3 linked regions of the Tamandua tetradactyla genome follow. Each later gene encodes a partner of the first gene's protein in a complex. Links are inferred from orthologs where the notes say so. Each region holds a gene or a part of one and is shown in the gene's direction. Other genes may lie near its edges.

The links. Proteins that work in one complex are often made in the same cells at the same time.
Region 2: CELF1 (region 1) and CALR share a complex: the UniProt entries of both Homo sapiens proteins name them as parts of the EIF2 complex. The link is inferred for Tamandua tetradactyla from reciprocal best matches to the Homo sapiens genes CELF1 and CALR.
Region 3: CELF1 (region 1) and CALR3 share a complex: the UniProt entries of both Homo sapiens proteins name them as parts of the EIF2 complex. The link is inferred for Tamandua tetradactyla from reciprocal best matches to the Homo sapiens genes CELF1 and CALR3.

What each region holds. Positions count from the first base shown.
Region 1 is NC_135334.1:124,238,740-124,246,561, reverse strand, and holds the start of CELF1 (CUGBP Elav-like family member 1), read left to right. Parts: upstream 1-4,789; 5' UTR 4,790-4,879; intron 4,880-7,822. UniProt on the Homo sapiens protein: RNA-binding protein implicated in the regulation of several post-transcriptional events. Involved in pre-mRNA alternative splicing, mRNA translation and stability.
Region 2 is NC_135337.1:89,723,121-89,730,721, reverse strand, and holds the start of CALR (calreticulin), read left to right. Parts: upstream 1-4,587; 5' UTR 4,588-4,681; coding exon 4,682-4,772; intron 4,773-5,148; coding exon 5,149-5,250; intron 5,251-5,441; coding exon 5,442-5,645; intron 5,646-6,220; coding exon 6,221-6,315; intron 6,316-6,401; coding exon 6,402-6,611; intron 6,612-6,706; coding exon 6,707-6,820; intron 6,821-6,906; coding exon 6,907-7,050; intron 7,051-7,565; coding exon 7,566-7,601. Other genes in the region: FARSA (phenylalanine--tRNA ligase alpha subunit), read right to left, coding at 956-1,102. UniProt on the Homo sapiens protein: Calcium-binding chaperone that promotes folding, oligomeric assembly and quality control in the endoplasmic reticulum (ER) via the calreticulin/calnexin cycle.
Region 3 is NC_135337.1:95,052,562-95,059,802, reverse strand, and holds the start of CALR3 (calreticulin-3), read left to right. Parts: upstream 1-4,227; 5' UTR 4,228-4,313; coding exon 4,314-4,404; intron 4,405-4,678; coding exon 4,679-4,780; intron 4,781-6,927; coding exon 6,928-7,131; intron 7,132-7,241. Other genes in the region: C11H19orf44 (uncharacterized protein C19orf44 homolog), read right to left, coding at 3,971-3,993. UniProt on the Homo sapiens protein: During spermatogenesis, may act as a lectin-independent chaperone for specific client proteins such as ADAM3. Required for sperm fertility. CALR3 capacity for calcium-binding may be absent or much lower than that of CALR.

The sequences.
Region 1 (7,822 bases):
TAGTTATAGGCTGGGAAGAAAAGCTGGGGAGTGGTGGTGGGTGATGAAAAGAATGAGAAGTGTCTTTCAAGCCAATTACTCCAGGGCATTCTCCTTGCAGTTTCATCTGGTGAAACAGGATTTGTCTCTCCAGACAGAGGCGTGAGGGCTGTTTCTCTAGGGGGAGGTGATTACAGGGTTAGCAGGCAGTAAAGGGTTAATCTCTTCTGGTGGAGGTTGGGTGGCAGACTGGAAGTCAGCAAGCTGTTTCCTTAGGGCAGGCTGGAGGCTGGGTGGCTCCTTCCTCAGGGCAGTCCATTACAGGTTTATCTAGCAGGGACTCACCAGAATCCAGGGTTTCAGTGTCCCCACTGCCATCGTTGTCAACCCATGTGTCCCCGGCCCAAGTGTCAGCAGCCCATCCTGTTCCAATTAATGCCCTCACTTTCACAGCAGACACCCTGCAAGGTTGAGAATTTGGTTTGCATTGTAAATCTGCTTGCACAAGGAGACTTTTGAGTCTGGTTTTCAGAGATCTCAAGTCTGCGACCAAAGGAAACAAGATGTTCTTTCAGGGCACACGTAGAAACTTAACATCTTTCATATGGCACTTAAGCTGCAAATTTGAAGCCTTCGGTTCATCCCTTTCTAATTGTATCCAGCCTATCTAGGACCAGCCAGTCAACATCATTATAACTCCACAAACTGTTAAGGTGTCAAAAACACTGTCACCCAGAGTCTTGCCTCATATAAGCGAATGATTAGCAGAAACAAATGGAGATGTTTTGCATATCGTATCTGTATTGCCACCCCGCGCCATGGACTGTCAGTGCCACCTTGATTATTGGAAATAGACTCATCAGTGCCTTTGAATCTAATCAAACTAGAAAACCAATTGCAAAACCCCATTGTTAAGATTCTGTTTCTCAAGAACTACCCCGCTCTCGGTACCAAGCTGTAGTAGTCAGGGTTCTCGTAGGAAACAGAACCAATAGGAAATATGTGTAAATATGAGATCTTACAGAAATGTCTCCCACAACTACGGGGATATACCAGTCCAAATTCCGTAGGATTCCCCAGGAGAGGCTGGCTGGCTATAGTAGAGACAAAAAGTTCTCTCTTCTGACTGCTGAATTTATCACCTCTCCCTGAAAAACTTACAACTGACAGGATTAAATGTCTGTCATTGGGAAGACAGCACTCGTAGCTGACTGCAGATGCAATCACCATAAATGTAATTCACTCACTGATGAGTCAAGTTCAGGAAATGTCCTCATAGTAACAGTCAAGCCAGCGCTTGCCTGAGACCAGACAACTGGTCACCATCACCTGGCAAAGGTGACACATGAACCTGACTTCCACATGTCATACATGCTTTTTTGTTTTGGGCTTGCCTTGCTCAATGTTTGTGACTGTGCAATTCATCCCAGGGGGTGTAGGAACAACAGTGTGATCCTTTTCACTGACATAAATATTCCATTATTAGAATATTCAGTAATTTAGTCCTTTTTTCCAATGTGGGCTGTTATTAAAATGCTGCTACCCCATTCTTTTGGTAAAAATAAATATTCTGCTGTGAGTAGAATTGCATCATAAGGTAAGAGTTTATTGAGCTATTTAGCTTTAGCAAAATAGCTAAATGCTGTCAAACAGTCTTCCAAAGAGGTTATATCAATTCTCATTCTCAACGACAATGCATGAGAATTAAAAAACAGCAAGTCACAGTAGAGAAAAGATGGTCTTTGCAAACGGTGCTGAATCAACTGGATATCCACATGGAAAAAGAAGAAAAAGAAAAGACAGATCGGACCCCATACACAAACATTAGAGCAGGATCAAGGATTTAAATGTGTTTTATTACAGATTGGATTCATATTGTACTTATTGTTACCCGCTTTTTTCACGAGTCATGTATCCTGAAGATTTTCTCACATAGATATTTTATCATTATTTGAAATTACGTATAATATCTTAGGCTGTGATTATATCATGATTTATTTGCTCAATCTCCTTGTCTATCCAATTTTGTGCTTTTGAAATAATGTTACGGCTCTGTACTTACCCGCGACTATTTCCTTAGGATACATTCTGGAAAAGTGCACAAAATTTCTAATTCTCCAGAAAGATGATGTGAGTGTTACTTGTACCAGCACTTGGGCAGAACAAATCTTTATCGATTGGGAAAGCGAAAAATGAAACAGAGCTTTACATTCTCTTTTTAATGTCACATCAGGCTTTTTTTGATCATTAAGCTGTTTGGTATTTGGCCTGTGCTGGCGAAAGCCTTTGAAGTTATGGGAGCCTGTTTTTGTTCTCCACGTAACTGTTTTTCCCCTGCCAGCTCTGAGCTCACGGCTGTGGCTTCCCGGGTACCTTATGCGAGAGGGACCCTAGCGAAGCCCCCGCAAGGACTGGCATTTCCTCTCCGACAAGGGCGCCCCGGCGCAGCGGCACAGCTATGGGAAGCAGCGCGGGGCCGCGGGGCGCTGCCGAGGGGCGCGGGGCCCAGGCTCCCGGGACGCGCGGACACCGCAGGGCGCGCGGCTACTTCCGCACCTCCCACGTCCAGCTGCGGGGGCTGCCGTCGCTCTCGCGCGGGCTGCCTGGGCGGCGGAGCCCCGCCTGGGTTCCCGGCTTCAGGGTGTAAGGCCGGGCTCTCCCGCGACGCCCGAGGAGGGCGGGAGCGGGCGCGGGCCGGAGGCGACCCCGGGCGTGTCCCTGCCTTCCTCCCCCCGCGGCCCTGGCGGGCGCCGTGTCGGGCCTGAGGACACTCGCGGCCGCGCCCTCACCCAGCTCACAGGCGCGCCCAAGGAAGCCGTGGAGAGCTTCCCAACCTTTCCACGGCCAGCGCTTGCAGGGGCCGCCGGCTGCGCTCCACTCCTGCCGCGGCGTCCTGCACACCCGGAGGCGAAATAAAACACCAAGTCTCCAACCCCATAGAGTTTCCCTTCTGGTGGGGGAGACCACAAATGAAACAAAATAGCTAATTTATAAGTACAAGATACATCATGTCAAATGGTGATAAGTACTTTGGACATAAATAAGGCAAGAAAGGGGATTGGAAGGGTGGATGTGGGCGTGTAATTTTAACTAGGGCGGTCAGGGAAGGTAAAGGAGGTGAGCCCTACGGGTGTCTGGATGACACCACAGCCCGGAAAACAATGAGGCAAAGTCTCTGCAGTCCATGGCAGCTGGGAGACAAATATAAAATTAATTGCGATAATATATGTGGCATGCTATAAAACTATAACGGTCTATAAATACAGGAGGCTTTCAGTAAATTACACATAAAGCCATTAACAAGAACAAGTTCATCTATCAGGATTATGTAGATATAAAATGATAAATGATACAGTTCAATTAGGGAATATGATAGTGTACAAACTAGGGGCTAATTGTCCCATGTACACCGACCAGAAAAACTGTAGCTGGTTTGCCCCCACCCCACACACCCCGGGGAAGTGGAGTGAGGTCCTTCCAATACATGGAAAACCCTGGAGGCTTCTGCTCGGGTGCCCACTTGTTGCTTTTTGTGGTAAAGTAGGCTATAATCAGTATTTGTGGGTATGAAAATTATTTGCTCTGGGAAGCCAGATGATGTAAGAGAAATAATTTACAAACCCATGAGTTATTTGCACGTTGGTGTGGCCAAAAAGTCCCAGAACTAAGTTTTTCTCTATCTGTATTTCATTGATTCACAAGTTCTGGAACCTGCGGGATAAAGAATGTCGCTTTTTTTTTTTTTTTAACTTTGAATCAATAATTAAATAATAGGGGGATGAGGGGTAAAAAAATTGGGTAATTGCAATATTAGTGGTCAATGAGAGGAAGGTGTAGGCGGTATGGGACGTAGGGATTTTTTCTTTTTATTTATTTTTCTGGAGTGATGCACATGTTCTAAAAATGGTCATGGTGATGAGTATACAACTATGTGATGATTAAAAAAAAAAATTGAAGGCGGTGATGAACTATGTGATGATACCGTGAGCCTTTGTATACTTTGGCTGGATTTTACCCTGTGTGAATGCACCTCAATAAAATTACATTAAAACAATTGTTATATTGTTTGCATTCCGCTTACACCCTGAGATTTCCGAGTCACTCCGAAGGAAGTCTTCAGGAACCCCACCTGGGCTGTTAAAAAAAAAAAAGATCTGGGAAAAGCTGCTCAGGGCCAGGCAATCTTGTCTTGGTAGACCCCTTCTGGGCTCGCTGGCCTTGCAGGCATTTCTGCGAGGCTGTGCGTGCACGCGGTGTCATCATTAACTCTGCAACCGCGCACATTCCACACACCTGCACCGAAGGGGACCGGCCTGGATCCGGCCGCTGTTCGCTGGGCAAAGGGCAGTGGGCCACGTGCCCGGGGCTGGCCGAGAGCGCTCCCTCCCGCATTCATTCCTCGCTGCCGGATCACGCGCAGCTTCAGCGCGGGGCCGGGCGGGCCGCCCAGCAGAGGCCGCAGATCTCGCGCTCCAGACCCCCAGGCCGGGGTCTTCCCTCGCCCCCAGCCAAGCTCGGAGACAAAGGGCTGCACCCCGGCGGGTCCTCCCCGCGGGACCTTCCGCCAGCCGCCCAACGCCCGCGTCGCTGCGGCCCCCCGCCCCCGCCCGAGGGGGCGCTGCAGCGCCGACGCCCGGCCCGCCCCTGCGCGCTCGGCCCGGCCGGGCTGCGGGCGCCGCGGTGGTACATTCCCTTCGCGCCCCCTCCCGGCCCTCCCGCCGGTGGTAGGTGCCGGAAGTGCCGCCATTTTGGGGTGTTCTGCTCTGGCGGCAGCGGCGGCGGCGGCGGCGGCGGGACGAGGAGGCTCCCACGGGACTCGGCCTCAGGAGCGAGGCGGCGGCGGCGGCTGCGGAGGCGCAGGCAGCAGCGGAGGCAGCGGCGGGCTCAGGTGCAGCCGCTGGTGAGTGCAGCGGCCGCGGATAACGGGCCGCGGGCGGGAGGGAGGGAGAGGGAGGCGCCGCGGGGCGGGTCCGGGCCGGGCGGCCCCGGTTCACAGGGTCCTCCGCGCGCGGCCGCGGCTCGTCCCCCGCGCCCCCGGGCCTGGTTTGCCATCTCCTTCCTCGTGTGGGGGTCCTCGGCTGCCCGGGCCCCGCGCGCCTGCCCGGCGCGTGCGCCGCGTCCCGGGAGACCCGCGCTGCTCGCGGCTTTGCCTCCTCTCTCCCGGTCCGGGGCCAAAGGGCCTCGCTCCTTGCCCAGGGGCATCTCCGCTTCCGCCCGGCCGCCGAGCCGGACCCGGGCTGCCGGCGCGGACACCCCTTCCCCGCCCCTCGCCCCACGTGTTCTCGGTGCCGGGTCGGGCCGCCGGACCGCCGCCCTTCTCAGGATCCTCGGGAGCCCCCGGTTCTGCGCCCCGCGTCCGCCGGGCCTTGGCCGGCCCTCCCCCACGTCGGGTGTCCACCCAGTCCCGGCCTAGCGGCGGGGCTGGAATCTCGCACCCCGGAGCGCTTGCTTCGCCGGAGATGCGGCTTTGGCTTTGCAGCCGGTGCTTCCTTGGTCCTGGTTCTCCGGGCTCGATGCTTTAATTCTCCAAGACCATCGCACAGGCCCTAGGAAGCTCCCCACTGGTGTAGGCTCACCCCCGCGGTTGGGGGGAAGGTGGTGAGATTGTGTCGGAGCCTGTTTCAGCAAAATGGAATCTCCTTCTCGCTAGCAGAGTAATTCTGTGCGTTTATTACCCGCGAGTAAAAAGGCCAAATAACAGTTCTGAAGGAGCATTAGAGGGCTTTATAACGTCTGCAGTGTAAGTGGCTACAAACACCCAGTGAATCCTTCACAGAAATTTCACCTCTTAAAGGTCTTTTCACTGGTTTTGATCCTCTGTGGATTGCGGAGGCTTTAATTGCGTTTTTCACATTTTTGACAACTGTTGGTAGGCCCTTTTCCTCAAGGGTAGCATCTCTTAGAGTGCTAGGCAAGTCCCAGCTTCTTAAATCCTTGGTAAGGATGAAGGCGTCTCTGTAGAATCACCCAGGGTGCTTTCATTTTTACCATTAATGAGTCCACTTGGAAAACCACTGAGCACATATAAACTATTGCTCCAGTAATAGTCTTTCCCCCATGCCAATTTGTTTTTCTAATTTTACTTACTGTTTATGTGGATTTTGATCCTGAGATTGAAGCAGTGCTGTTAGTAAAGCAAAACTTATGTTTTCAGCTGCTGCTTTAACTAGGAAGTTTATGGTTCTTCCAGTGGTTCGCTCCTCATGACTTCCCATCACCTGTTCCCATCGAGAATGGCTCTTGGCCCAGGATATAGCCTCAGCTTCTCCCCATCGATTAATTCTTGTAGGGTTTGCTTCTCTCAAGGTAGTGCCTAGACTTAAAATCATTTAGCAGGAGGGGCTTTTAGAAGTTGAATATCTTTTCCAGCCCTCTCGCTTATCAGATGAGGAAACTGTAGTCCCCAGCAGTTATATGAGTTATCCAAGGTTACAGAGCAGGTGCTCTTAAAAGTCTCACCACATGTAGGCCTGTGGATAAGCTAAGATACCCATTTTAGGTGGTTAAGATTCCATATGTAAACTGTAAAAGTATTTTCAATTTCATATTTTCCTGAAATCAGGAAAATATTTAGTAACATAGGTCATTACTATAGCATTGCAGATATTTGTAAGAACTTTCTATTATATTTTGAGAACATTCACAGTTTCGAAGCTGATCAAATGATATCTAAGTTAGTGTTTAATACTTAGAATTTGAGAACCTTGCTATGTGAATTTGTAGATTTTCTTCTTGTTGCCTTAATTTTAAATTTTAAACTTACTACACAAACACAGGTTTTACAACGATTATATGGATACTTATTTAAATATGCCTATGGTTAAGCTAACTAAGATAGCCATTTTTGGTGGTTCTAAGTGTAAGTATATTGCTTGTTTTCTTCAATTAAAAAAACATTGAAAAAAATAAAGGTCTCACCACAGGCTTTTTCTTCATAATATCATGAACAATAACAGTTTGCTCTTTGTGATGTGAAGAAATGAAAAGTGAAAATGGCTTGAGCTTAAAAGGCCTGGACTGCAACCTTGCTCCATCACTTATTAGGTATATAACCTTAGTCAAGTCTAATTTTTCTGGGTCTCAGTTTTATTGTCATCTGCAAAATGGAGAAAATAAGTGTCTCTCTCACATGATGGTAATTCAGCTTCAGGGCAGTAACATGAGAGTGCCTGCAGTATAACAGGTACACAGTGAAATGGTTTATTTTTCTAAATAACTGTTTATTTTTGTTATTACAGAAGCTGCAGATTCATTACAAAAATAAGCTCAAAAAGAAGAAAGTCTGCCATAGTCCTTTGGTTTTTATCTTATCCATCCTTTTTATTGCCATAGTAATGTTTACTATCTTACCAAAATAGCCTTATCCTACCACATTTTTGTGTGACGTATTTTTAAGCTTTTTTGGCATTATTTGGTTTTAGTAATCACATTTAAAATGGTGTCCTGTATTTAATAGCTTTAGCATGTGTGAGGTAGGCCAGTGGATATCCCAGCACAGGAGCAAAGTACAGGGGTCCTTCTTTTAAACATACACTGGGTTGAAAGAGAAGGAAAGGGGCAGAGACCTAACATTTATTGTATGTCTGTTGCGTGAGATATATATTTTAAAAGTAAAGATTTGGTATCTGCTGCTCCTTCCTGTGACTGCCTCTGTAGCTTTTTTTTTTTTTGTATGCTGTATGGTGGGGGTCACATTTCATTCTTCTTCCATGTGAGTACCCATCATTGCAGTACCATTTGTTGAATTTTGGGGGGTGGGGGTGGGGGGTAGGGGAAGTGCTTGGGGGGGTATCAGACCAGTGGCAGGTAAGAATTCTACCACTGAACTACCCATGTGCGCCCC
Region 2 (7,601 bases), on another chromosome or scaffold:
ATCTGGGTTTGCCTGTCCCTTCATGTGATACCGATCAAGTTATTGAACAGGATGGGCTGTGGACACATCTTCAAAATGAGGATAGCAACAGGGCTCTCATCCCGGGGTTACTGCAAAGACTGAAAGAAAAGTAAAACTGAGACTAAAGGGGGATAATGAATGCAAGTACAAAATATACACAATCCAGATCTATCTCCTGAGTCCTGGTGGCATGAATCCAGCTTCTAGGACTGCCCACAGGCCCCTTAATATCCTCCATCACCTCCTACTCTCACAAGTCAAAAGGCTGAAATTCATCCGTGCTTCCCCTGCCATCCCAGCTGTATGCCCTCTACCTTCGGGATGTGATAGCCTGTGCATCCCTTCTCTTGCTTCCAGTACAGACCCTGCCAACTCTTCCCAAAGCTGAGTTGACAACTCACGCATCTAACCATGAGTCTCCCCAGTGCCCCTATGAGATAAAGGCCTGCAAGGCCTTGCAAATTCTGACTCCGCAGCTCTCCCCGACACATTAGCCCCTGAAGTGCCACGGGCACTTCTGTTCTCCTCAATGCACAGACCCGACTCAGCTGCCACCTCCTTCCAGAAGTCTTCTCCAACCCCCAAAGTTGTCATCTCTGGGTTCCCTGTGCCTTCCCCGTCACTCTGGTCACGTAGGGATCTCCCGATTAGACCGAAACCTCCGTGAGGGCAGAAACCGCGACTTCCTAGTCCACCGTCGTATCGCCCTCCCACCCACGAGGCCGACCATGCCTCAGTGTACGTTTGTAGCATGAGTGAACGGTCAACGCGCCCGTGTCCTCATTCATTCGATCCCCGCTGCGAAACCCGAGTAGACACAGATACAAATGGACCTAACCAGCTCCGAGAGGTCTGACCTGAAGGCTTGGCCCCTCCTGGCAAGGGCACGGCAGGTGCAAACGCGCTGAGGACCGACATTACGGGCCCGACCCACCTCACCCAGCGCCTGCAAGCTCTTCACGGCGCCCACCACGGCCTGGTGCTCCAAGCCCAGCTCACGCGCCAGCTCCGCACTGTCCACGCCGCCATCCGCGGCCTCCAGCCGCCGCAGCAGCTGCTCCGCCACGGGACCATCCGCCATGGCTGCTCCCAGGGCACTCGGCGTGGCCGGGGCGCACCAGAGCCACCGGAACCGGAACCGGCGCGAGGGGGGGGGGGGGTGCTGTGCCGCCATCTTGAGTGTGGCGTGGAAGTAGGGCGAGGCTCGGGTGCCGTCATCTTGAGTGTGGCACACTATAGTCAAAAGGGTGGAAGAGACTCCGTCCCCGCCTCCGCCCTAGTACGGATAGTGATGTCTGGTTGACTAGGCAGGTCAATTTCTTGCCCTCAAGGTCAGAAGCACAGCTTTAGTTCGAGATGTCAATCAGCCGTGCCTCCAACGGGCTGCTTGACCTTGGACTTCACCCTGCGGAGGCCTCGTGCCCTGTGCCCTTCTGGAATTATTTTTTGCACTGGGGAGGGCCGTGGGAGGTGGGCTGGAGAGGTGATCACGCTGCTGGTTTCGATTTCTTTTAAATTTTCAAGGGCAGGCTGGGTAGGTACTGGCCCCATTTATAGAAAGGGGAGGTACAAGTCTAATATCAAGTTAGTAGCAGTTAACCTCTGAACTACATCCCGAGTTCCAATGCAATTCTAAATGCTTCGAGTTTATTTCAGGTCTCTACAAATCTCTATAGTGTGAACAGTGATATAATCCCCATTTCACAGATGAGAAAACTGAGGCTCAGGGTGCTCTGTACCAGTTGCCTAAGGTTCAGCAGTGAGTTGGTGAGATGGGGCCAGAAATTATGAACACTCCAGACTCCCCCATCCCACCGCTCCAAGAATCAACCTCAGATAAGGTTCTAGATGAGTGTTGTCCTACGGAAATATAAAGCGAGACACAAATGTAATTTCAAGTTTTCTAGTAGAAGCTTTAAAAAGGAAACTGGTGAAATCATTTTTAACATTTTACATGACCTACCATGTCCAAATTATCTTTTCAATGTAGAAATTAAGAATATCTTCCACACATTAGGAATGTGATTAGTCCCACTAAATTGTACATGTGGGAGTGGGTGAGATGGGGAAGTTCATGATGTATACATGTTTCCACAGTATTAAAAAGAAAGAAAAACAAGAGATGAAAGGGACAATGAAAGAAAAGATACATGGAAATATTAAATATTCAGGGAATATGATGTATACAATTTACTCTCAAATGTTTAGAAAATAGATGAATAGACAGACAGGTGACAGATAGGTATATAGATGATAGAATGATGTGGTAAATAGGGCAAAATGTTAATAGTAAGATCTGGGTATCTGCGTAGGGGGCAATATGTTGGCCATACATAGGGGTTTTGTATTATTTTTGTGACTGTCCTGTAAATTTGGAATTATTTCAAAATGAAACAATGAAGTTTATATAGTGAAAAAACTTTCACATCCTTATACCAAGTCTTTGAAATCTGAAGATTATTTTACACTGACAGCTCATCTCAGTTGGAACCAGCCACATTTCAAATGGCCAGAAGTCGCCTGTGGTTGATGGCAACTGTATTAGGCAGTGCATATAAATTCTAATCTGAGATCTGCCATTTATGTCACTTAGCCCAAATCGCTTACTCTCTCTGTGCCTTGATTTTCTTGCCAAGATTGAGACTATATGAGCCTTGGTTGTTGTCAGAGTTACATGAACTATTCTCACACAAGTATGCAGTAATTGCTAATACCAGTGGACTGTGGACATTGTGTGTCAGGCACTTTTCTCAGCCGTGTGCTTATAGAATGCAGCACTCATCTGAGCCATGTGCTTATAGGATGCACTGGCTCATTTAACCATTGCAATTATTGTTTGAATCTATAAAGTGAGGTTACAAACATCCCCCAATCTGGGTTCTATCTGCCTCTAAAGGCTACAGTGAGGTCTTAAGACAAATTCAAGAGACGTCCCCCAATGTCCCTTTCACTTCAGCTTTGAAGCACTTTCTTGGTTTGGGTTTATTTAATTCCTACAGTAATTCTTCTAGTGTTTCTTTGATGCAGCCACCCCTCCTTTCTTCATGCAGGAAGTATTTTTTTAAGTCTGCTCTGCAGCAGGTGTTGCAGGAGACAAGGGACAGTGAGATGAATGACAGCCCATTTTCTGCCCAGGACACCGAGAACAGGAGAGAAGGGGGCGGGGTGGGGATCAGTGGCAGGCCTGGTATGGTCACCTGGATTTCTGCTTTCTCTGGAGGGGGGGTTCAGGTTAGGTAATGGTGGATACTGCCCCGGGGGTAGGGGCAGGACCCCAACTTCTCCAAGGCTCCTCATTCCTCCCCTTCCAGGGTCCCCACCACTAGAGGGTAAGCACCCCCTTTGCCCTTTTCCCAGAATTCCCCCCTTTCCCCAGTCCGCTTCCACCTTCCCAGTTCCTGAGCCAGTTTGCTTCAGAGCTTGGAAAACCCCTAGCCCTCCTGCCTTCCTCCTCCATGCAGCCTGGGGGCAGGGAATTGGTGTCAGTCCTGTGTCCCTAGCTTCCTGGGAAGACTTTAGACCCATGGGTCCTACGCACCTCCCTTGGACCTTATCTTCCCCACCATCTGTTTATTTCTTTTCTTCCCCAACGGAACCCCCTACCCTCCTGCCCTTAGCCGTTTAATTGCAAAAGCCAGGCCGTTTGTGGGAAACCACAAGACAGCGACCCCTTTCATTGACAAGCTGAGTGGGGAGTAAAGAGACCCCACCCACCCACCCTCGGAGCCTCAAGCCACATCTTCCAGCTTTCTGGGCTTCCTCCTTTCAGTTCCAAGACCTCTCTAAAGGCTTTTAAAGCATTTCTGCTGGGCAGTAGCTGGCCAGGGCGTCCTTCCCGGTCTCTCAGGAGTTCCTGTCACTTCAGAGGGGCTAGGTGACATGCCCCAGGGCACGCAGTAGCAGGCATGGGCGGGCGAGGTGACATGTACCAGGGCGCCTGGGCGGGCGAGGAAGAGGGCGCGGACACCGTCCCTGCTGAACGGCATGGCTGTCTCCTCGGCACCGGGGCGCAGGGGAGCCCCAGGACCTCAGCACCTGAGCTCTGCCTGCCGCCCTCTGCTCCATGTGGGAACGGGGCAGGGTGGAGAACATAGAAAAAGCTTCAGGGTGGGCTTCCCCAAACGCAGGGCGGAATGTTGCTAGGAAGCTGCGACAACCTCTCCGGGCAGCGAGGCTGGGTAAGGAGCGAGGCAGGGGCCGAGGCAGGAGGTGAGGTAACACTGCTCCCCGCGCAGGCTCTTTAAACGCCAGAGAACAAGAAACGCGCGAGAGTTACGGCGGCGCGGGGAAGAGGGTTGGTCACATGACCCGGCCCGGCGGGCTCGCGGCCCCCACCCCACCGGTGGGCGTCCCCCGCAACGCGTGGTGGGCCTTCATTGGCCGGTAGCGCGGCCAATAGAAATCGGCCATCTGGGAACCCTTCGTTCCGAGGCACAGCCGAACCTGCTGGGCCGACAAGGGTCCAATGAAAAGAGACGTCCGTGGGCACGGACCAATGAGAAGGCACGGGGGTCCGGACCAGGTTGGCTTGAGGGGCGGGCGGGTATAAAAGCCGGCGGCCGGCCGCGGCGTCCGTCCCCGCTGCAGAACGGCTGCCGGACGTGCTACTTAAAGGGACTGTGCGCCGCCGCCGCCGCCGCCGCCGCCCCCTCGGCTCGCCATGCTGCTATCGGTCCCGTTGCTGCTCGGCCTCCTCGGCCTGGCCGCAGCCGAGCCTACCGTCTACTTCAAGGAGCAGTTTCTGGACGCAGGTAACGCCTGGTCCCGCCCGAGGCCGCCCCGACGACGCGGCAGGGTCCCCCCCCCCCCCCGTCCCCCAGCCTCCGGATCTGCGCTGTCGCCTGTAATTATCTCTGAGAGGGCCAACACGGTGGCCCCCGGGGACCGGAGCCGCGGGCGGTCCCTCCTCCTGCCTCTCTGGGGAGCGTGGAGGTCGCAGCGGCCTCCCACAGCCGGGTTTCGCCCCAGAATCGCGTTAAGTTACCTGAGGTGTCAAACCTAGAGGTTGAGTGGAGGGCGGGATCGGAGGAGGACCCGAAACCAGTTCTTGGTCTCGCTCAACTATTGGGAGTGGGGGTGGGGTGGCTTAGCACGGTTCCCTTGACTTGCTCCTCTGCACCCCCCCAGATGGGTGGAAGGACCGCTGGATCGAATCCAAACACAAATCGGATTTTGGCAAATTCGTTCTCAGTTCTGGCAAGTTCTACGGCGACCAGGAGAAAGATAAAGGTAAGAGCTGGCGGATAGATCCCCGAATCCAATGGGGGGGGCTGCCTAATGAAAGCTGGTTGCCTCACAGAGCTCAGGCATCCCCAGAAACAGGACAGAGGGAAGGAGTGAGGGTTGGGGTCAGTTGTCCTCGGGGCATAGGGTTTTTGGGGTAGGGGCTAAGGCATGACCCCATCGCTGTGTTTTACCAGGGCTGCAGACCAGTCAGGATGCCCGCTTTTATGCCCTGTCCACTCGGTTCGAGCCCTTCAGTAACAAGGCCCAGACACTGGTGGTGCAGTTTACTGTGAAGCACGAGCAGAACATTGACTGCGGTGGCGGTTACGTGAAGTTGTTTCCTGACAGTCTGGACCAGACGGACATGCATGGCGACTCGGAGTACAACATCATGTTCGGTGAGGGGCCCGCTCTGGTGCTTGACATCTATCCCCTTCGTCAAAGGGAGACTGAGACCCAACGGTTTCCTTAGGTAGTGAGAGGTGGTTCTGACAGCACAGAACGAGTTTAAAAAATCAAACTTTTAGAAGGGTTGCCGAGGGGGGAGTTATAGTACAGCAACTTTAAAATTTTCATTGCTGGTTTGCAGACAGGTGTGATCCCATGTGCTTTTCTCTTGGTTTTATAAGTGTAGATACTTGGTTACAGGAATTTTTAGACCGCTGCATTTTTTTTTTTTTTTTTTTAAAGGAAAGACAGAGAGAAGGAAGGAAGGAAGGAAGAAAGGGAAACATTTTTAAACATTTTCTTGTTTTATTGTATTCTGTTTCTCCGTTTTTGTTACATGGGCTGGGGCCGGGAATCGAACCGAGGTCCTCCGGCATAGCAGGCAAGCACTTTGCCCGCTGAGCCACCGCGGCCCGCCCTAGACCGCTGCATTTTTAAGAAACAAGTTTCCTTTTCGTAAAGAGGAATTGAGGGCTTGCAGTGGTGGGCAGCTTCTGGCTTCTGACCACACCTGCTTCCCACCTAGGACCCGACATCTGTGGTCCCGGCACCAAGAAGGTTCATGTCATTTTCAACTACAAGGGCAAGAACGTGCTGATCAACAAGGACATCCGTTGCAAGGTGTGTCTGAGGGGTGGGGTGGGGGTTGGTGGGGGGAAGGGCAGGAATCCGGGAGGGCGGGACTGCTCACCTCCCACCCTCCTCAGGATGATGAGTTCACACACCTGTACACACTCATCGTGCGGCCCGACAACACGTACGAGGTAAAGATCGACAACAGCCAGGTGGAGTCGGGCTCCCTGGAGGAGGACTGGGATTTCCTGCCCCCCAAGAAGATTAAAGATCCCGATGCCGCCAAGCCAGATGACTGGGATGAGCGGGCCAAGATTGATGACCCCACAGACTCCAAGCCCGAGGTTGGTGCCTGGACAGGGACCACCACTGTGAAAGGGGTGGTGGACATGTGGGCTCACTCTGATGTCCTCGTGGTTCCCCGACTCTCCCCCCCTAGGATTGGGATAAGCCTGAGCACATCCCCGACCCTGATGCAAAGAAGCCTGAGGACTGGGACGAAGAGATGGATGGAGAGTGGGAACCGCCAGTGATTCAGAACCCTGAGTACAAGGTGAGCTTGGGTTCCAAGTAAGGGCTGGGGTACAGGGTGGGGAGGGCACCGGCCTCTGTTCACCATGCCATTCTCTTCTTCCCCAGGGCGAGTGGAAGCCCCGACAGATCGACAACCCAGATTACAAAGGCAAGTGGATCCACCCAGAGATCGACAACCCTGAGTACTCCCCTGACGCCAACATCTACTCCTACGACAGCTTCGCTGTGCTGGGCCTGGACCTGTGGCAGGTGCGACCCAGAGTGGGAGGAGGATCCTGGGGGCACCTCAGGTCACCTGCGAGGGAAGGGACAGGGTAGGATTCAGACCCAGGCAGGCCCGACTGGAAAATGCTTTGAGAGCCCTGTTGCTGTGAGGCCCTTCCTGAACCTTTACAGTCCTAAAGGCACTTATTGAGTGCCAGGGCTCTCCCTGAGTACCTGTCATTCCCTCCACCAATCTCGGGGGTGGTCAAGCAGCCCTGTTAGAAAACTTTGCTTTGCTAGCAGTGGCAGAAATTTGAAGTCGCCAGCCTAAGGCCATACAGGCGGGAAGGGGCAGAGCTGGATTGGAACCCACCCCTTGTGGGTCTCGCAGCCCCCATTTTTTAACTGCAACTTTAGCTGTGCTGCTTGGTCCATGAGGTGCTTCTTGACTGCTGCAGAGATGCGGCGGCATCTAGTGGTTACAGGAGCACCGCGGGTGGGAGTTTTCCCAAGGCCAGGGCCGTCTTGGGTAACCCACTCCTCACTCCATTCACCCCCAGGTCAAGTCTGGCACCATCTTTGATAACTTCCTTATC
Region 3 (7,241 bases), on another chromosome or scaffold:
CACCACAGGCAGGGCAGCTCCCTCTGCCCAGAGGGCTCGGTGTTCTCCCACCAGCTACGTAAACCCAGTGTGGACAATTAACCAGCTCCCCCGAAAATCTGACTTCCCTTCAAGTGTGAGAACCATTCCCAGGGGGACGGGGGAGATGGGATACCTATGGAAAAACACATCATCTCCCCCCACCCCATTATGGGGTGAACTGTGTCGTCCAAAAAGACCCACCCAAGTCTGACCCCTGGTTCCGACGATGGATCTGATTTGGAAACAGGGTCTCTGAAGACAGGATTAGTCAAGATAAGGCTAAGCTGGAGGAGGGCAGGCCTGCCCCGACAGGACTGGCGTCCTTATGGGACGAGGAAATGAGGACACACAGACAGAAGGAAGGGACAGAAGATGGCCTCACGGAGACGGGTGCCAAGGGATGGAGCAGAGGCCAGGAGGGCGCCTCACCCAGGCTTCAGAGGGGGCGCGGCCTGTGCTTCCAGCCTTCAGAACAGGGGACAACGGTAAGATTCTATAGTTTGAAATTCCTGGTTTGGGGTCCTTGGTGATGGCAGCCCCTCGAGACCGAGACAGCCCCACTGTGACATTGACCTGGGGAGAGGGCCCAGCACTTCCGTCAGCCTCTCAGAGTTCCTACATGCCTCTGAGGGACAAGAGGCAGCTGAAGAGTCCCAAAAGCTCTACAGACTCAAGAGGAGGCCGATGACAGCGTGCCTGGGTATGGGTCTGCTGCAGTCCCTTTCGTGGGGAATGGAGAAAAACGCCACCAAAATGTGCAAGGCACAGACCCGTTCGCCCAGCAGTTCCATGTCTAGGAATTTACCTCCACTTATACTCTCAAAAGTGCAGAGTTTTCTCTTGAACAGTGTGTTCAAGGAGATTCAAGGCAGCTGTGTATGTACTCGCCAAAAACCCAACCGTCAGTAAGAGTTGCCAGAGCGCAGAGACCCTCAGCAAATGAACGCCATGCAGCTGTTAAATAAATGTGTTGGCTCAGGCAAGTGTCACTCGTACCGAGAGAGGGAAAAAAAAAAAGCCATGAAACCTGGAACCCCTTTCCTTTTCTGTTCACTTGGAAAATGATATTTTTAGGGTTTCCAGCTTCAACAAAGGATGCTCAGTGAAATTTGAATTTCAGAAAAACCACGAACATTTTAGTCTGAGTGGGTCCCACAAGCTTTTATATTGAAAAATAAGTGTGTTCCAAATATTTTTATACTAAAAATTTATTTAAGCAGGGAATGCAAATTCAACAGGGTATACTGTACTATTATTTACTAAACCTGGCAAATCCTGTATTTAACACTCCTTTCTTTTTTTTTTATTAATTAAAAGAATTTAACAAACAAAACATTAAGATATTCCATTCTACATATATAATCAGTAATTCTTAATATCATCACATACTTGCATATTCATCATTTCTTAGAACATTTGCATCGATTTAGAAAAAGAAATAAAAAGACAACAGAAAAAGAAATAAAACGATAACAGAGAAAAAAAGATTATACATACCATACCCCTTATCCCTTGCTTTCATTTACCACTAGCATTTCAAACTAAATTTATTTTAACATTTGTTCCCCCTATTATTTATTTTTATTCCATATGTTCTACTCTTCTGTTGACGAGGTAGATAAAAGGAGCATCAGACACAAGGTTTTCACATTAACACTCCTTTCGAAGCTGAACTCAAAAATGACTTCGGCAAAGAAAAGTTTTTAATCTAAAGCTGAAGATTTGGTATAAGAATGAATTATGGTTACCATGGTTATTAAGTTTTTATCTTACTGTCCATTGCTCTGACGGGTGAGCTAGTTTGCTTGCTCATTTGCATCTTAAACCATCTAAGCATCGAGAGAGGCCAGCCCAGGCCTGGCCCGCAGCAGTGCTCAGTAGATGGAAAACCACACCTTAAAGAAACATCTGCAAATTCCTAGTCCGGAGTGATACCGGGAAGTTACTGACCTGCTGTGTGTCTCCGTTTTCCTCATCCGTAAAAAGGGAAGAGTGGAAAGATCAAAGGTGAAGGTGGAGTTATACAGAGGTCAGGTTTAACAAATGAGTATGACTGTGAATCATTACGCTCGTATTTCTTTTAGTCTCCAGTATCTTAGAGCAGCTAGAAGTACAAGAGCTTAAAATCGTGGAATTGTAACCGATACCAAACCCTGAAATCTGGTCTACAATCCAAACCCTGAAATCTGGTCTACAACTCATTGTTGCAATGTGCTTTGAAATTTATTTTTTGTATATGCTATTTTTCACACACACAAAAAAAGTCAACGGTGATGATAAATGCTCAAGTATATGGTGATATTGTGAACCACTGATTATACACTTTGGATGATTATGAGTATATAATATATATCAATAAAAAATGAATAATTAAAAAGGATCAAAGGAGAATGTGGAGTTATAAAAGAGAAGATAGGATTTAACAAATGAGTATGACTCATGAATCATTATATTGATGTTTCTTTCAGTCTCTGGTGTCTTGGAGCAGCTGGAAGGAAAAACCTGAAATTGTGGAACTGTAACCCATACCAAACTCTGAAATCTGTTCTATAATTGTGTGCTTTGAAATTTAGTGCTTTTTTGTATGTATGTTATTCTTCACAAAAAAAATAAGCACAAATTAAAAAACCAAAAAAAAGGGGGGGGGGGAGTGGCTATCACATCACCCCTGCAGGGTTTTTATAAGGAGCAAAGGAATTAAAGCAGGTTCTGCGTGGGCCATGGAATGATCACTTAAAGTTAGGCCACGCTTAGGGCACCTGCAAGATGGGGTTGCTTTTAGCTGCAGGGTGTGGTGACAGACAAGCCCCGGCACAGGATTTGGACATACACAGCTCGAAAGAGTGCCAATATCCACCTTTATTAACACCTGTAGCTGAGGCTGAGAATCTAGGCCAGGTTTTCGGGCTTCTAGTTCTCCATAAAGTCCCCCCAGCCTTCAACATAAAGCCAGAGCAAAAGATCTGAGCAGAACGATAACGTGAACGGCCAGTGGGCACATGGAAAGATGGTCAACTTCACTAGCTCTCAGGGAAAGCTAATAAAAACTGCAAGGAGATATTACTGCACAGCTGCCCAGATGGCTAGAATCGAAAAGACAGAGGACAGTCCCTGCTGACCCGGACGTGGGAAAACTGGACCTCCCATGCGGCTGCGGGGGGAGGGGAAGGTAAACCGGGGAGTCCCCGCTTTGGAAGTCTAGCAGTTCCTCAAAAAGTTAAACATGGGGATACCACAGGACCCGGCAGTTCTGCAGGAGAGACATGAAAGCTTCCAGCCACCCAGTACCTGCATGCCAATGTTCCTAAAGGGAGCAGGGAAACCACCCAAACGTGTCTGTCAGCTGAGGAAAGGACGGCAGGCCGTGGTCCATTGGCGATGGAGTATCACTCCGGAATAAACATGGACACTGACACGCCACCTCGTGAATGAGCCGCAAACACATCACGCCGAGTGAAAGAGCCAGATTCAAAACATCACACACCGCCCAGTTCCGCGAACACGCAACGCCCAGAACAGGAGGGTCCACAGAGAGAAAGCAGATCTGCGGTGTGCAGGGGCGGGGGTGGGAGTGGGGGCTGCACAGGGGAGAGGCGAGCTCTCCGGGGCGATGTTAAAAAGTTCCCAAGCTGGATTGTGGCGGTGGCGCCACAACTCTCGAGATTCCAAAAAAACAACCGAATTGCATACTTCAAGCAGGTGAATTTTACAGTATGGGAATTCTCTCAACAGAGCTGCTCAAAATGAAATAAACCGACCTCTGAAAACCCTGGCGCCCCTGAGAGCATCCCGGCTTTTGGCGCGACGAGCCCACACTCCCTGTGGGGGAGGGGGGCCCTAGACGGGGAAATGCCCGGCCGCCGCGCGCCCCGCCCCCGAGCGCGCACCCCTCCCCCCGCCACCCCTCTCCCAAGCCCGAGAGCAAAGCTCTTCCGCCGGGCCCGCAGACCTCTGTCCTCGCTGTCCATCCATGGTGGTCGCTGACACGCTTGGCGGGGCGCAGAGGCCTGAGGACACCGTTGCCCCAGGCAACAGCGCCGGGGAGGAAGAGACTACATCTCCCGGCCTGCACCACGCGCCGGGAGCCAATAGCACAACGGGTCATAATTGCTGGGGATGACGGGATTGGTAGTTCCGGGGCGGGTCCGGCGTGCACAGCGGGGCGGGGGGGGGTTCCAATGGCGCGACAGGTCACAATCGCGGGGTGTGTCGGGAGTTGTAGTTCCGCTGCCCGGCGCGGAGGCCGCAGGGAGCGAGGGGGCGGTTGCGAGAGGAGGCGCCGCCCAGCGGCTATGGCCGCGACTCGCGTCTCGCTCTGGGCCGTGTGCGTGTTGCGCGTGGTCCTGGCCACCGTCTACTTCCAGGAGGAGTTTCTAGACGGAGGTGAAAGGGGCGACGCCCCTCGGGGAGGCGTGCGGACCCCTCCCCCGCCACCAGCTGTCCAGCGGGCGGCCGAGTCGCCGTTGGCCCCGGGCTGGACTTCGCGGGGTCCTGGGCGCGAAGTCTCGAAGCTTCGAAGCCTCGAGGGCCCCTCCCCCTCCCCCTCCCTTCCCCCTCCCGCCACCTCCCCTCCCCTCCTCCTCCCCCCCTCCCCCTTACCCAGAGGGGGCCCCCCTCGGCCCTGACCGGTGTCGTTTCCCCCCTTCCCGCCTCGCAGAGCGTTGGAGGAACCGGTGGGTCCAGTCGACCAACGATTCCCAATTTGGGCATTTTAGGCTCTCGTCGGGAAAGTTTTATGGTCATAAAGAGAAAGACAAAGGTTAGTGTAGAAACCATGCTGAATGCCAAAGCCCCCGTGGCAGCCTTTCCGAGCGAGGTGTGGGGGCGCCCCGACCCCTGCCTGCACCCCCTTTACAGGGAGGAAGACCGAGGCCCGGGGAGGAAGGGTCCTCGTTGCCAGTTTTTTTGTTTCTTCTTTCCTTTCCCAAGAGCATCCTAGTGTTTCGTGACCACTCATCAGCTAGGATGATGGGGACCCGTCTGGCCCCACAGAGGGACTTCCCTGCCGCTTTTTGTTTTCCGCGTTAAAAAAGAAAGAAATCGCTGCCCCACGTGTGTGATGTCAAGTGCACAACTCTTCGGGGTTCGAGTTGATGGGTGTTCGCCCCTGTGTGGCCACGGGAGAGGCATCCCTTGTGTCCCTCTCGCAGTTGGCCCCTTTCACCTGCAGCAAGGATAAACTCATTTCTGGTGGTTTTCACCCAAGGTCGGCAATAACCAGCTTGCCTGTCACCTGTTTTTGTACAGCCAGTGAGCCGAGAGTGGTTTTCACATGTTTTTTTAATTGTCGGGGGGAAGAAAAGATCAAAAGGAGGGTGGTATTTTGTGACATGCAGAAATCATGTGAAGGTCAAAGAAATGCATGAAATTTTAGCACCCGTAAAGTCTTTCTGAACACAGCCACATCGTGTGCTTACATGTCTGGGGCTGATTTTCTCACTATAGAGGCAGAGTCCAGGAATTGACCCACAGAGTCTAAGGGGCTACTGGCTGACCCTTTACAGAGAAAGTTTGCCAACCTGTGCTGTAGATGAAAAGTTTTCCCTCTTCTCCACCTTCTGTTCAACCACTGTCTCACCCTGTTATTGCAACGCTGCCCTGTTCTGGCAGCCTCTAGCTTTGGGTGGTATAGGCATTGTTTTGTAAGGTATGCATTGACCTGAATAGCTGGTAAAAGTTGAGGCCATGTAGTAAATAAAGGTGGGATGAAAACTGACAGGTTATTTGATGGAACTTGTCAAGGGAGAGAGGTTTCCATGTAATCTCCTCTGAGTTGTTTCTGTGTCTGTTTTTCACACCCCCCCCCCCCTTTTCTAACATGAAGCCTTTGAGATTCTGTGCATTGTGTTCATTTGTTCGGCATATGGCTGTTGCTGTCAGACACAGGCAAAGCACTTGGGATACCCAGTTAATTTGGTCCCTTCCCTCGTCATCTCCTGGGACCGTGACATTGAAGCCGTGAATCCCAAGATGAGTGAAATTTATCCAGACAGGGATGGGAGGTGGAGAGAGCAAGAGGAGGGTGGCTGCACAACAGGAGAAGGCTGCAAATCAGCTGGCTTGGGAATTGCCTGGGTGGTGCGAGTATGGGAGAGGCTGGGGCTATGGACTCCCTTAGAAACAGAGGGAAGAGGGGTGCCGGTGCGGGGAACACAGTCCTGAGGTTTTGACATAACGAGACAAAACCCCGAGTTCATTTCTGATTTCTCAGCATAGGCAGGTATAGGGGTAAGGCAGGGCATGGAGCAAGGAGGGGTGGACGGAAGGAAGAATGGCTCCACATTCTGACAAGCTCCGGTCTAAGAGAGGGATTTGAAACAGTTCCTAGTGGCTACTGAGAAAGGAAGTTTTTGTTTTGAAGTGAATGCCTAAATTTAGAAAGCACATACTTGGTTATTTGTGCAACAAAACAGATGAGAGCTTGCAGGGGTCTACCCTAGGGCGGTGGGCATTTGAGTACCCACCAGCCACCCCGGGTTTCATGTTCTCATTGGCTCCCCTGTTTCTTAAGTAGCTGTTTGAAGATTGAGAACTGGAGGAAAGGAATAGAACGTTCTGTTTTTCACCCAGCTACCACACAAGCCTCCGGTGTATGTTCTCATGGTCAGGAAGAAGAAAGGGGCCGAATTAACCTCAGGCCCATAGTTAGATGTGTACTTGTCATTTAGAATTGGAGTGTGTTTGTCACTTAAAACACTGCAGTGCTCTGTGAAGGGGAAAAACATCCCTGGCGTGAAGTAGAAGTTCCTTGAGAGCAGAGGGCTGGCTGGTGGTGGTGTCTGAGTTCCCTGTCGCACTGGACTAACTGTTTCTCTCTGGGGTCTGGGGCACCACATCCGTGTACCTTCCCTGCCTCTCTGGGCACAATGCCACTCCCTATCTATCATTAGTACTTTCTGCTTCAAGGTCTGCAAACCACCCAGAATGGCCGATTCTACGCCATCTCTGCCCGCTTCAAGCCATTTAGCAACAAAGGGAAGACGCTGGTCATTCAGTACACGGTGAAGCACGAGCAGAAGATGGACTGCGGTGGCGGCTACCTCAAGGTCTTCCCTGCAGACCTGGACCAGAAGAACCTGAACGGGAAGTCCCCATACTACATCATGTTTGGTGAGTGGTCATGTGGGCAGCACAGCCCCGGCCGCTGTCGGTGGGTGCCCTTCCACCCAGGCCCTCATTAGACCACGGTTTGCTGACGTGGTGTGAGGTCTGTTGGGTGG